3 linked regions of the Cricetulus griseus genome follow. The protein of the gene in region 2 purifies or fractionates together with the protein of the main gene of each other region. This does not show direct contact. Links are inferred from orthologs where the notes say so. Each region holds a gene or a part of one and is shown on either strand. Other genes may lie near its edges. The genes, in order: Gnpat, Bsg and Atp2b4.

Region 1 (3,470 bases), on a different chromosome or scaffold from region 2:
CCTGACTGTAATATTCTCTCATGGATTGTTAAAGGCCTGTGTCATGAAGCTTGCTTTTTTTCTTCTTCAGGCCTGGGGACCAAATCCAAGTCTTCACACATGCTAAGCCACAGCCCCAGTCTGAAGTAGCTGAAAGGCTTTGTGCTCCTGTTCTGACCACAGGAGATACACAACTATGACAGTTTGGCTTCAAGATACTTACTCATTCAGGAGATGCTATTACCAGTGGTTCTCAACCTGTGGGTCACACCTCCTAACTCTTTCACAGGGATCAAATATCAGATATTTACATTGTGACTCAGCAGCAGCAAAATTACAGTTATGAAGTAGCAATGAAATAATTTTATGGTTAGGGTCACCACAAATGAGGAACTGTATTGAAGGGTCACAGCATTAGGAAGGTTAAGAACCACTGCTCTACACACACACACACACACACACACACACACACACACCCCTACCTTCTGATCACATAGGATACAATTCTGAGTTTGGCTTCAACTTTATCACTGGGATACTCATTCAGTTAGGAGATCTGTCTTTCTTCATCTATATACATTCATGTACACACCCACACACATTACCTATACTCTTTTCTGTAATTAATCTAGGAAATGCAGTCTAAGGTCAAGCCAAACCTGGGCTAGAGTTCATTCATAATTTTGTGACATGGAGGTTCCCTGGAAAATTGTACTGATCTGATCTTGAGGGCAAGAGGAAAAGAAACAGCACTGTACTTCATGAAAGACACATTCCTGTGTCACTGGGTCCTGGGCTTCAGTGTCATTCCTCACCTTGACCCCATTAGCACCTGGTACTTACACCTTCTTCCTTTCTACCACTCCGAGTCTCACAAAAGCTGCTAAGGCATTTTTCTGCAGGTCAGAAGACAGTGCATCAAAACACTGAGAGGCGCCTGCAAAGAGGGGAAGAGGGCAAACGATCATTCCTATTCTTAGCTGAGAAACCACCACCCAGAGATGAGATGTGACTGACCTTGATCTAGAAGCTGACTGGTGAACTTCCTAACTGCAACCAAGTACTGTTTCTCAGTGAAGCAGTCTTCTTCTTCATGTAAGAGGTATTTGGAAACTATCTGATTTCAAGAGGGAGAATGAATGGAACACAGAGAAAGGGGGTAGCCAAATACAAGAGCATGATGGCCAAATTGCCCTCATTAAGAATAACACCTCCACAATCTGCAGAACTTCTAACATAGCTCTTTTGAACTTTCAGCAGCTTTTACAATTAGAAAAGGACAATTTGAAATGACATTTGTCAAGAGTTTAATTTCTCATCTCAGCTGATTGCAAGACAATCACTTCCAGTTTCATATCTTGGGCTGCCTGGGGAGAGGACCTACTCGTCCTTCTGAGTGCACAGAGTGCAGGCCCTCAAGCACTGGCTGATTCCCAGTTTATCAAGTGCCCATCCCATGCTAGACTTTGTGGGAAGTGTGGGACGAGGTCAGCTCTGGGATTAGTCACCATTGTCCACCCATCACAGGTGCTCACAGTCAGTATATAAGCAATGAGTTAAGAGTCACAGATGCCTCTTTTCTGAAATGCCTATATACCCAACCATATGCATTTCAAATTCCCTCCCTCCCTAGAATACTGCCGCAGTGCAGTGTCTGAAACCAGTCCTATGCTCTTTCCTGGGTGTCTGTGCAGGATCTTGCTCTTTTTCTTCTGGAAGCAGAGTGAGTGTTCAGTACAATGAAAGGAGAAGGCATTCAAGTCTTGTGCTCACTTAGTGACCACTCTGTATCAACATTAGCCATACAAAGAACACAGGAAGACACAGCATGAATGTAGTTCTGTGTGCAATCATGGGTTCACAGGGGTGCTACCCTCAGAAAATGACAGGCCCAGCCCCTCCTGCTTGTCCCTGAGTAGACATGGAACTTACTTATCTGGGCCCACTATTCAACTGGCACATGCTCACCCCCCACACCAGAAGTAATTTCAGGAATAAAGTCTTACAATACTAATGTGGAGATATTCAGCATTTGCAAACTTCACATACCTGGTATGATTCTACAAAAGGTTTAAAGAGCCCTATGAGAAATTCTAACACAGCATTCCCTTTATTTGTGATGATGATGGCCTTCCCAGTCATCTGTATAGCCTCAGTTTTACACAGCAAGTAACAGCCTTCCTCGAAGTCCTAGAAAGGGAAAGGGGAGGCACATATGTATGTGTACCCCAACATCACTAGGCCCACAGCTCCGCAGGACCACCTGACTATGCACTGAAGCTGGGAGCATTTGTTCCCACACTCAAGTGCCAACCCTCAAACATGTAAAAATACAGCATCTGTGAAGCTGTGGCCCGGGAGACAAGACAGACAGAATCTCCCTCTCTCCCTCCCTTTCCCCCTCCCCCCTCTGTCTCTGTCTCTGTCTCTGTCTCTCTCTCTCTCTCTCTCTCACACACACACACACACACACACACACACCAGGTGTTCTTCACTTGACACTGAAACACTTCCTTAAATTTAATAGCAAAACCAGAAAACCTGCCAGTCCTCACTTCTCCCAACCCAACTCCCACAGAGCACAGGAAAACCCTCTCCTTAACACACATATAGCACCTTCTGTCTATCTGCCTGCCTCTGCCCATACCAGCAAAGCCACAGACCACACAGCTGTCCCATTGCCAGGCAGGCCCGCCACAGGCCCACTCTCAGAGGAAATGTGCTGTTGTGCTGGAGCATGCCAGGGATCCTCACTTCTGGAACATGCACCGTGGCATGCTTGCTCTGAGCTGTCAGAACTTACCCTGAGTGTGTTTCCTGGAAGGAAGATGAACTCATCTGAAAACACGTTGCGTAGAAAGGAAAAGCAACTGAAGACATCCTCTGGAAAGAACCCATTTCACAACATTAAGACATAGCTTTTGATCTTGTAGTCCTTCAAATGTGTGTGTACGAATGTAACAAGGAAATAATTAAGTCCTTAAAGGAAGCTGAAGTTAACCCAAAGTTTATCTGAAGGACAGACTAGAGTCCAGCAGAGTTTAAAAGGGCTGAATTAAACAAGGCCTCAAATCCCTCAATCTAGAAATGGGCAAGATGCCATCATCCTTAGAATTTCCTCAGCTGCCTCCTATTCTCCTGTCTACCATTTCTTTACTGTGACTGTGTTTCTGGGTCAACACACACACACACACACACACACACACACACACACACACACACACACACACACACCAAGGTGTGCCCCCGAGACAAACTGAAGGATATTCTCTGGGGTGGAACCCCATTATCCTCAGGCAGATCTAGGTAGGCCCAGCCTGCATAACTCATTTCACCTCATTGTGATCTGACACCACTGTGCATTGTACAGTGACAGTGGTGGTGTCCTATCTGCCTCTGCTAGGGCTGTCACAGCAAAAACTGCATCGGACCAGGACCTGGGCAATGGTGTTCCTAATTCGGAGCCTCTCTAGTAATTATAGGACTCTCTG
Region 2 (2,581 bases):
AGGGTGTGGTTGGGGCGCGGGGCCGAAGCAATTTGCAGGCTTGGGCACCAGGCTCTCCCCTCATCCCAGGGCCACCCAGGATCAAGGTCGGGAAGAAGTCAGAACATTCCAGTGAGGGAGAAAATGTGAGGCTGATCTGCAAGTCTGAGTCATCTCACCCCCCTGTCACTGAGTGGTCCTGGTTTAAGACCTCTGACTCTGGGGACCAGGTGAGAGCTGTGGTGGGAACATGGGGTTCTGGCAGTGGCGCAGCAGAAGGGGGTCCAGGGCTCTAGGAAAGGGAGAGTTGTAATGAGAGACAGTGGAGGGCTGTGGTGGACACAGTACTTAGGGATGAAAGGGGGTGGGGAGACGCGGGGCTGTTATGGGACATGAGGCTTCAGGGATGACTGACAAAAAGGGTTCATGGAGGGGTATTGTGGGGCTCTTGGAAGAGTGAAGGAAGGGCTATGGTAGAACATGACGAGCCCCTCTTCCCCAGCTGATCACCAACAGCTCTGAGAGCAAGTACGTCGTGATATCCACAGCTGACAGATCAGAGCTGACCATCAGCAACCTTGACATAAATAGTGACCCTGGTACCTACATGTGTAACGCCACCAACACCCAGGGCAGTGTCCAGGAGATAATGACACTGCGTGTGCGAAGCCGCCTAGCAGCCCTCTGGCCCTTCCTGGGCATCGTGGCTGAGGTCCTGGTGTTGGTCACTATCATCTTCATTTATGAGAAGCGACGGAAGCCGGACCAGACCCTGGACGGTGAGCATCCCTGGGTCTGGGTGAGTGGGTGGGACACCCTCATTGTGTCCACCTGGGGGAGAAACGTGATCTGCTCCTGGCTCATCGTCCTTTCTCCTCCTCCACTTGGCCACAAGCTAGTCTCCTCTGTGGTGAGCTCTCCCCAGTGGCTCAGACAGCAGCTGTGTGGGGCTTCGAGCTATGGGTGCCTCCAGCGGTGGGCTGCACAGCGAGCGTGGGGTTTGGGATGTGTTGGCCCCGCCATGTGCTGATCACCAAATGCATGACACCTGTGCATCACCTTGAGGGTGGCAATGCAGGGCAAGGTTCAAGCAAGCCCGACTGAGGGAGGGACCGCTGCTGGAAGAACCTTAGTGGGTACTGACACCTGTCTCCCTCCCCCCCCCTCTCTCATGTGGTTGCTCATCATCGCAGAGGATGACCCTGGTGCCGCCCCACTGTAAGTCCAGCTCACTGCGAGCCCTCGGGGGAGCTGCTATTGTCCTGTAGGAACGGGGGAGGGGGTGTCCAATAGAGTGCATCCATCTTTCATGGCCTCAGTGGATTCAGGGAAGGTAGATGGCTCCTATTGGAACAAAAGGCAGCTTGCAGACTCTGGCTGGGGGGGGGGGGGGGGGCGTTGGTGGTGGTGGTTGAGGCCAGCCCTGAGCCTCAGAGTGCTGAACCCTTTTCTGTATCCTCAGGAAGGGCAGTGGTCATCACATGAACGACAAGGACAAGAATGTACGCCAGAGGAACGCCACTTGAGTGGCAGAGTAGGCGGGGTGGGGGTAATCTGGGCGCCTAACCCCAGCCCAGCATCTACCTCCACTCCCATACTGTCCTATCCTGTCCTAACCCGTATCTATCCACCCCAACCTCCTATCCCAACCTGGGTGAAGACAGAGCCTCGCCTTGCAGAGTAAGCCCACCTGGAAGAAGCAAGCCACCCGCAACACCCGTTTCTAGTTTAAACGAGGTTTCTATACAGAGAATTCGTTCATTAGGGGTTTCTGTTGTTTTCGATTTTTCCCTCCCTTTTTAGTAGTGTCACTACTGCCCTGTAGAGTGGGGGAGTGGGGCCTTGTCCTTGTCCATGAGGCCAGGCCAACCTCCCGGCTCCACCACCTACTCCTCTGTATGGGACTGCCCATCCCCACCATGGGCAACATGGGCTGGGTCTGCTGGGACTCCACAAATAAAGACCTACCCCACCATGTGTGTGTTCACTGTGGTTTCCCAAAGCCCATCTTTATGGGATAGTGAGCGTTGAGATCAGGGACGGCTTGAGATGTGGGCAGTAGTTCTCAACCTTCCTGATGCAATGACCCTTCCAACCAACCATAATTCATTAAGATTTATTTGTTTGTTGGTTGGTTTTTCAAGATAGGGTTTCTCTGTGTAGCCCTGGCTGTCCTGGAACTTGTAGACTAGGCTGGCCTGCCACTGCCACTGCCACTGCCACTACCTCCTGAGTGCTGGGATTAAAGGTGAATGCTACCACCCCACCATAAAGTTATATTCACTGCCACTTCATAACTGATTTTACTACTGTTAAGGAATCATAATGTAGATATACGAATGCAACCCTGTGAAAGTATCCTTTGACACGCAAAGGAGCTGAGAGCCACACTGGCCGAGTATGTCTGAGCAAAGTTGGCCTCTTGAGGGCACTGTTGACCACCGCTGGTGTCCTGTGCTGCCCTCTGGCCTAGTGTGCTCGGTTGTGGGAAATGGACGCCACCTGGGGGCCACAGGATTGACAGCTTCAAGCCGAGCTGGTTTTCATGCTTAAGTTTTGAGCAGGAGTTGGAACAGGTGTGCATGTGGGGTGTTATTACAGT
Region 3 (3,752 bases), about 45 Mb from region 2:
CACATCTAAGTCCGTTCTCCTCTGAGTACTCAGACTAGGGCAGAGCCATGCCAGAGGGTGGAGCCGGGCTGCTGAGAGGCTGACAATAGGGCAGGTCACAGACGCTGCTAGACGGGAGGGATCCAGCTTCTGCTGCAGTATTCCCAACCCTGCAGTTCTCACGGCTCGGAGAGGTGGGGGTACAGCTGGGCTGAAAAGCGGTCTCCCCAGCTGCCCAAGACCCAGGACACATGGCCATTAGAACAGGCACCCTAGTGCGCGCTAAGCAGACACCTCAGGCAGCAGCCATCCTTATCCACCAGAATTGGTCCCTCCCCCGGGATTCCCGCCTCCCCTTCCGATAGAAGAAGGGCACCAATTCTTGTTGGGATCAGACCACAGGTGGGGTAGAGTGGCCAAAGGGTCTGATCCATTACCAAACACCTGCAAATGAAAGCTCGCTCTGGTGGCTTCCCTGGCTACCTTTTAACCTCTCCTTCTATTTCTTCCTCAGGTTCTCAGCAAGGCTTTTCTCATAGCCCACATTATAGGGTCCTCCTGTTTTGAAATTCTTCTCTCCCCTAGGCCCCTTGCCATGCTGGTCCCAGCCCGAAATAACCCTGGTCTCCTCCCTTCCAGATAAGGAGATCCCAGACCAGGGGGGTGCTATAGGAAAGGGTCTCTTAAGTGGGAAGAGCCAGGAACAAGGGGAGTTCATGTGGGTGGGTGGGGGTGTCAAGCATGGAAGGAGTGAATCTGAAGACTCCCTGCCACACACCCCAACTGGAGGAAAAGATGGCCTGCAGAACGGGAATTCGTTTTCCCTCCCTCCCCACTTCTCTTTCCTTCTCAGCGTCACAGCAGCCGCCTGACTTCTTCACCTGACACCCGACCAGCCCACCTGGCCAGCATCAGATCCGGAGGGCATTGTGCGTCCTGCAGGAGTACCCTGGAAGAAGATGCCTCCGGCCAGGGCGCGCTCTCCCTGCTCGCAGGATTTGCTGGGCCCCTCCTCCCATCTCCCCACGCGGCTGGAGAGAAGCAAGTAGGCATTCTTCTAGAGGTGGACCAGAGTATAGGCTGGACTCATCTCAAGGAAAGACGCCAGCCGGCCCGCACTACCAAAACAGGGAGAGAGGAGAAAGAGGGAGCAACTCCAGCCTTAGTGTCTATCTCTAAAGCGATCTGTTCAGGGACCCTCTCAAGATGCCAGAGGCCCAAGCCGGCCACCTCACAGCCTGGGGCTTGAAACTGAAAACTTTTCAGTGTGCCCCTTCTCTTTCCTTCCCTATAGAATCAGAGATGCGTGGGGCGGTGCCCTTAGAGACACTCATACAGTTGGTTCTGGACGCTTACGCTCACTCAAACAACAGCAGTGAGAGGGAACTCCCAGCTTTTTCCACAGCTAATTATAGACGTCAAAGTCTGAGGATGTTTTGTAAGCCGCAGAGAGAAACTGCTGAGGTTTCTATGCAAAGCCAAAGAAATTTAATTTGTGCACTCCTGGTTCTCACCCTCCAACTTCTCCTAGCCTATCTCCACCTTATGCGCCCCCCCCCCCCCCGTGAGCTCCCTCCTTGGCGCTAAGGCCTTCCTTCCCGCTGAAGATTTATTTGGTCCTATTTTTCCCATCTCTCTTTGGGGCTTTCGAGAAAGGGAACAGACGCGGAAAATATTTTTTTTCCGCAACAGTTTTCCATTCTGCGGCTGGTTCCCAAGCCGAGGGGGAGGGGGAGAGCAGGAGCGGATGGGGGTCGGCTGGAATAAATACTTGTTCCGAGAGCTTAATTTGGGTGAGAAAAAGGCAGTCCCTCCATTTCCCCACCCATCCCATGATCCAGAGGAAAACGCAAAGGGATCACTTGTTTGATTAGATGGTTCTTCAGAACCCAGGGAAGAATACAGTGTTGAAGACATTCTCATTTTCTCCCCCCACCTCTGTCTCCTATTCCACCACCCCACCCTCCCAGAATTTGCTAGCATGAGGAAATTCGGATACTTTGAGAAGCTATTGAGAGGAAAGAAAGAAACAAAGTTTGCAAATCCCAGAGTCAATTCATTCTCTGCAAACCTACCTCTCTTTCTAGCAAAGATTCAGGTGTCTCCAAGCGGGACTCTCCCTCAGCGTTTCCATGGACCGAGTAGGGTGGGGTGACCACCCACCGCTCTCCCCAGTGTGGCAAACCACCTAGTGATGCTGGCTTTGCTCTCTGGCCACAGCTGGGGGAGTGGACTGAGTCTTCTTCCCCAGCCCTTCCACGCGAAGGACCTTCCTGGAAGAAAATGGGTGCAGGGAGCTGGGCGGGTGTCTGACCTCGCCGTCTTCGGAGGGATGGTCCCCCAGGAAGTTCGTACTCCCACCCCACCCCCAGCCTAGGACGGTCTCAACAGAAGAGCTGTCTTAAGAAAATGCTTGTCATGGCAACAGCTCCAGCCAACTCTGGCCAGACTGGGGCTCCCCAGCTCTCCCCCAGCAGGGCGGGAGGAGAAAGGGGCGGAGCGCGAGCCGGCGGGGGTGGGGTTTGGCGGGAGGCCAAAGCATTGCTCAGCTCTTAAGGTAGCCCGAGAGCAAGGCGCGGCGGAATGATGCTTCTTGGTCCGTCTTAAGGGGGAATGGGGAAGGGTAGGGGGAATCCTCTGCCCTCTTGGCTTTCTCCCAGCGCTGGTTCTTACTTGTTGAAAGGGGAGCAGAGCAGGCGTGGGTGTGGGTGGAGGTGGGAATGGATGTGGGCAGCGGTCTTCAACCGTTGCTGCGTGGAGGGGAAATAAAGGAAGTGTCTGCAAGCCATTCTGTTTCCTGCAGCTCCTCCAGGCCTCTCATTCTCATACTGATTTAGACTCAGGACCACGAAACCTCAGGAGGCTGTGGGCATCTGCCCTACTGACCCAGTCTGAACTGGGAGTTCACTGTCAAAGACGAGGCAATTGCTCAGGGTGCCCACACACATAGGTGCCTCCTCACCCTCAGACCCAGGTCACATCTTGCTCTCTCTTGCTTGTGTACCCAACCAAAGGCATGTCCACAGGGCATAGAATGGCTGCTCGCCTGTGTGTGGCTGAACACCCAAATCTTTGCATCTACAATATCGTTTTTAGCCCTGGTGGCAGTCTCAAAAAGGTACTCATTACTGTCCTGGTTTCATGGTTGAGGAAATTAAAGATTGAGCGACTTGCTCAAGGTTACCCATCTGGTTAATGACAGCCAGGATTCAGGGGCAAGTCAGATCAGACCCATTCCAGAGACTATGTGCTTCCCTATCCCTGTATCATACTATGTCACACATTTCCATCCTAGCGCGTACACACTGAGACATCCGTACACACTTAGACACAGCCTATAAACTGTTAATCACACCCCCGTGCCACACACCCACCAGCATTGTGCAACAGTGCCACCCATAGCTTTTGCATGGAACCTTATGGCTTTCAAGTACAAACATGCACCATCAGCTGGCTCACACAACACATCTTCATTGACGGATACATTCCCACACCTACCTCAGCAGACATACTCACTCATGTTTACATGCTTATGAAAGGCAGGCTAACACAACCTCACAGGTTATAGAGTACTGTATAGGGGAAGAAGGGGATTATTACGGTTCCCCAACCTATTAATAGAGCTTCAAAAATGCTCCAGTACCTAACCAGGCATGGTGAGTATACCTGTAATCCTAGCAAGCAGAAGGCTGAGACAGAAGGACTGTTAGGAATTTGAAGCCAGCCTGGGCTACACAGTGGGAGCCAGGCCAGCTATAACTACACAGCAAACA

What was found.
Region 1: the proteins of Bsg (region 2) and Gnpat purify together in Homo sapiens (affinity purification with mass spectrometry; 3 studies listed by BioGRID and IntAct, counting the BioPlex papers as one, with this or other methods). This does not show direct contact. The link is inferred for Cricetulus griseus from reciprocal best matches to the Homo sapiens genes BSG and GNPAT.
Region 3: the proteins of Bsg (region 2) and Atp2b4 purify together in Homo sapiens (affinity purification with mass spectrometry; 3 studies listed by BioGRID and IntAct, counting the BioPlex papers as one, with this or other methods). This does not show direct contact. The link is inferred for Cricetulus griseus from reciprocal best matches to the Homo sapiens genes BSG and ATP2B4.

Annotation. Positions count from the first base shown.
Region 1 is NC_048596.1:201,628,908-201,632,377, reverse strand, and holds part of Gnpat (dihydroxyacetone phosphate acyltransferase), read right to left. Parts: intron 2,863-3,470; coding exon 2,783-2,862; intron 2,170-2,782; coding exon 2,029-2,169; intron 1,097-2,028; coding exon 997-1,096; intron 917-996; coding exon 823-916; exon of another isoform or gene 795-822; intron 1-794. UniProt on the Homo sapiens protein: Dihydroxyacetonephosphate acyltransferase catalyzing the first step in the biosynthesis of plasmalogens, a subset of phospholipids that differ from other glycerolipids by having an alkyl chain attached through a vinyl ether linkage at the sn-1 position of the glycerol backbone, and which unique physical properties have an impact on various aspects of cell signaling and membrane biology.
Region 2 is NC_048598.1:100,520,542-100,523,122, forward strand, and holds the end of Bsg (basigin), read left to right. Parts: intron 1-69; coding exon 70-209; intron 210-481; coding exon 482-758; intron 759-1,172; coding exon 1,173-1,197; intron 1,198-1,441; coding exon 1,442-1,505; 3' UTR 1,506-1,954; downstream 1,955-2,581.
Region 3 is NC_048598.1:55,393,715-55,397,466, reverse strand, and holds the start of Atp2b4 (plasma membrane calcium-transporting ATPase 4), read right to left. Parts: upstream 2,431-3,752; 5' UTR 2,055-2,430; intron 1-2,054. UniProt on the Homo sapiens protein: Calcium/calmodulin-regulated and magnesium-dependent enzyme that catalyzes the hydrolysis of ATP coupled with the transport of calcium out of the cell. By regulating sperm cell calcium homeostasis, may play a role in sperm motility.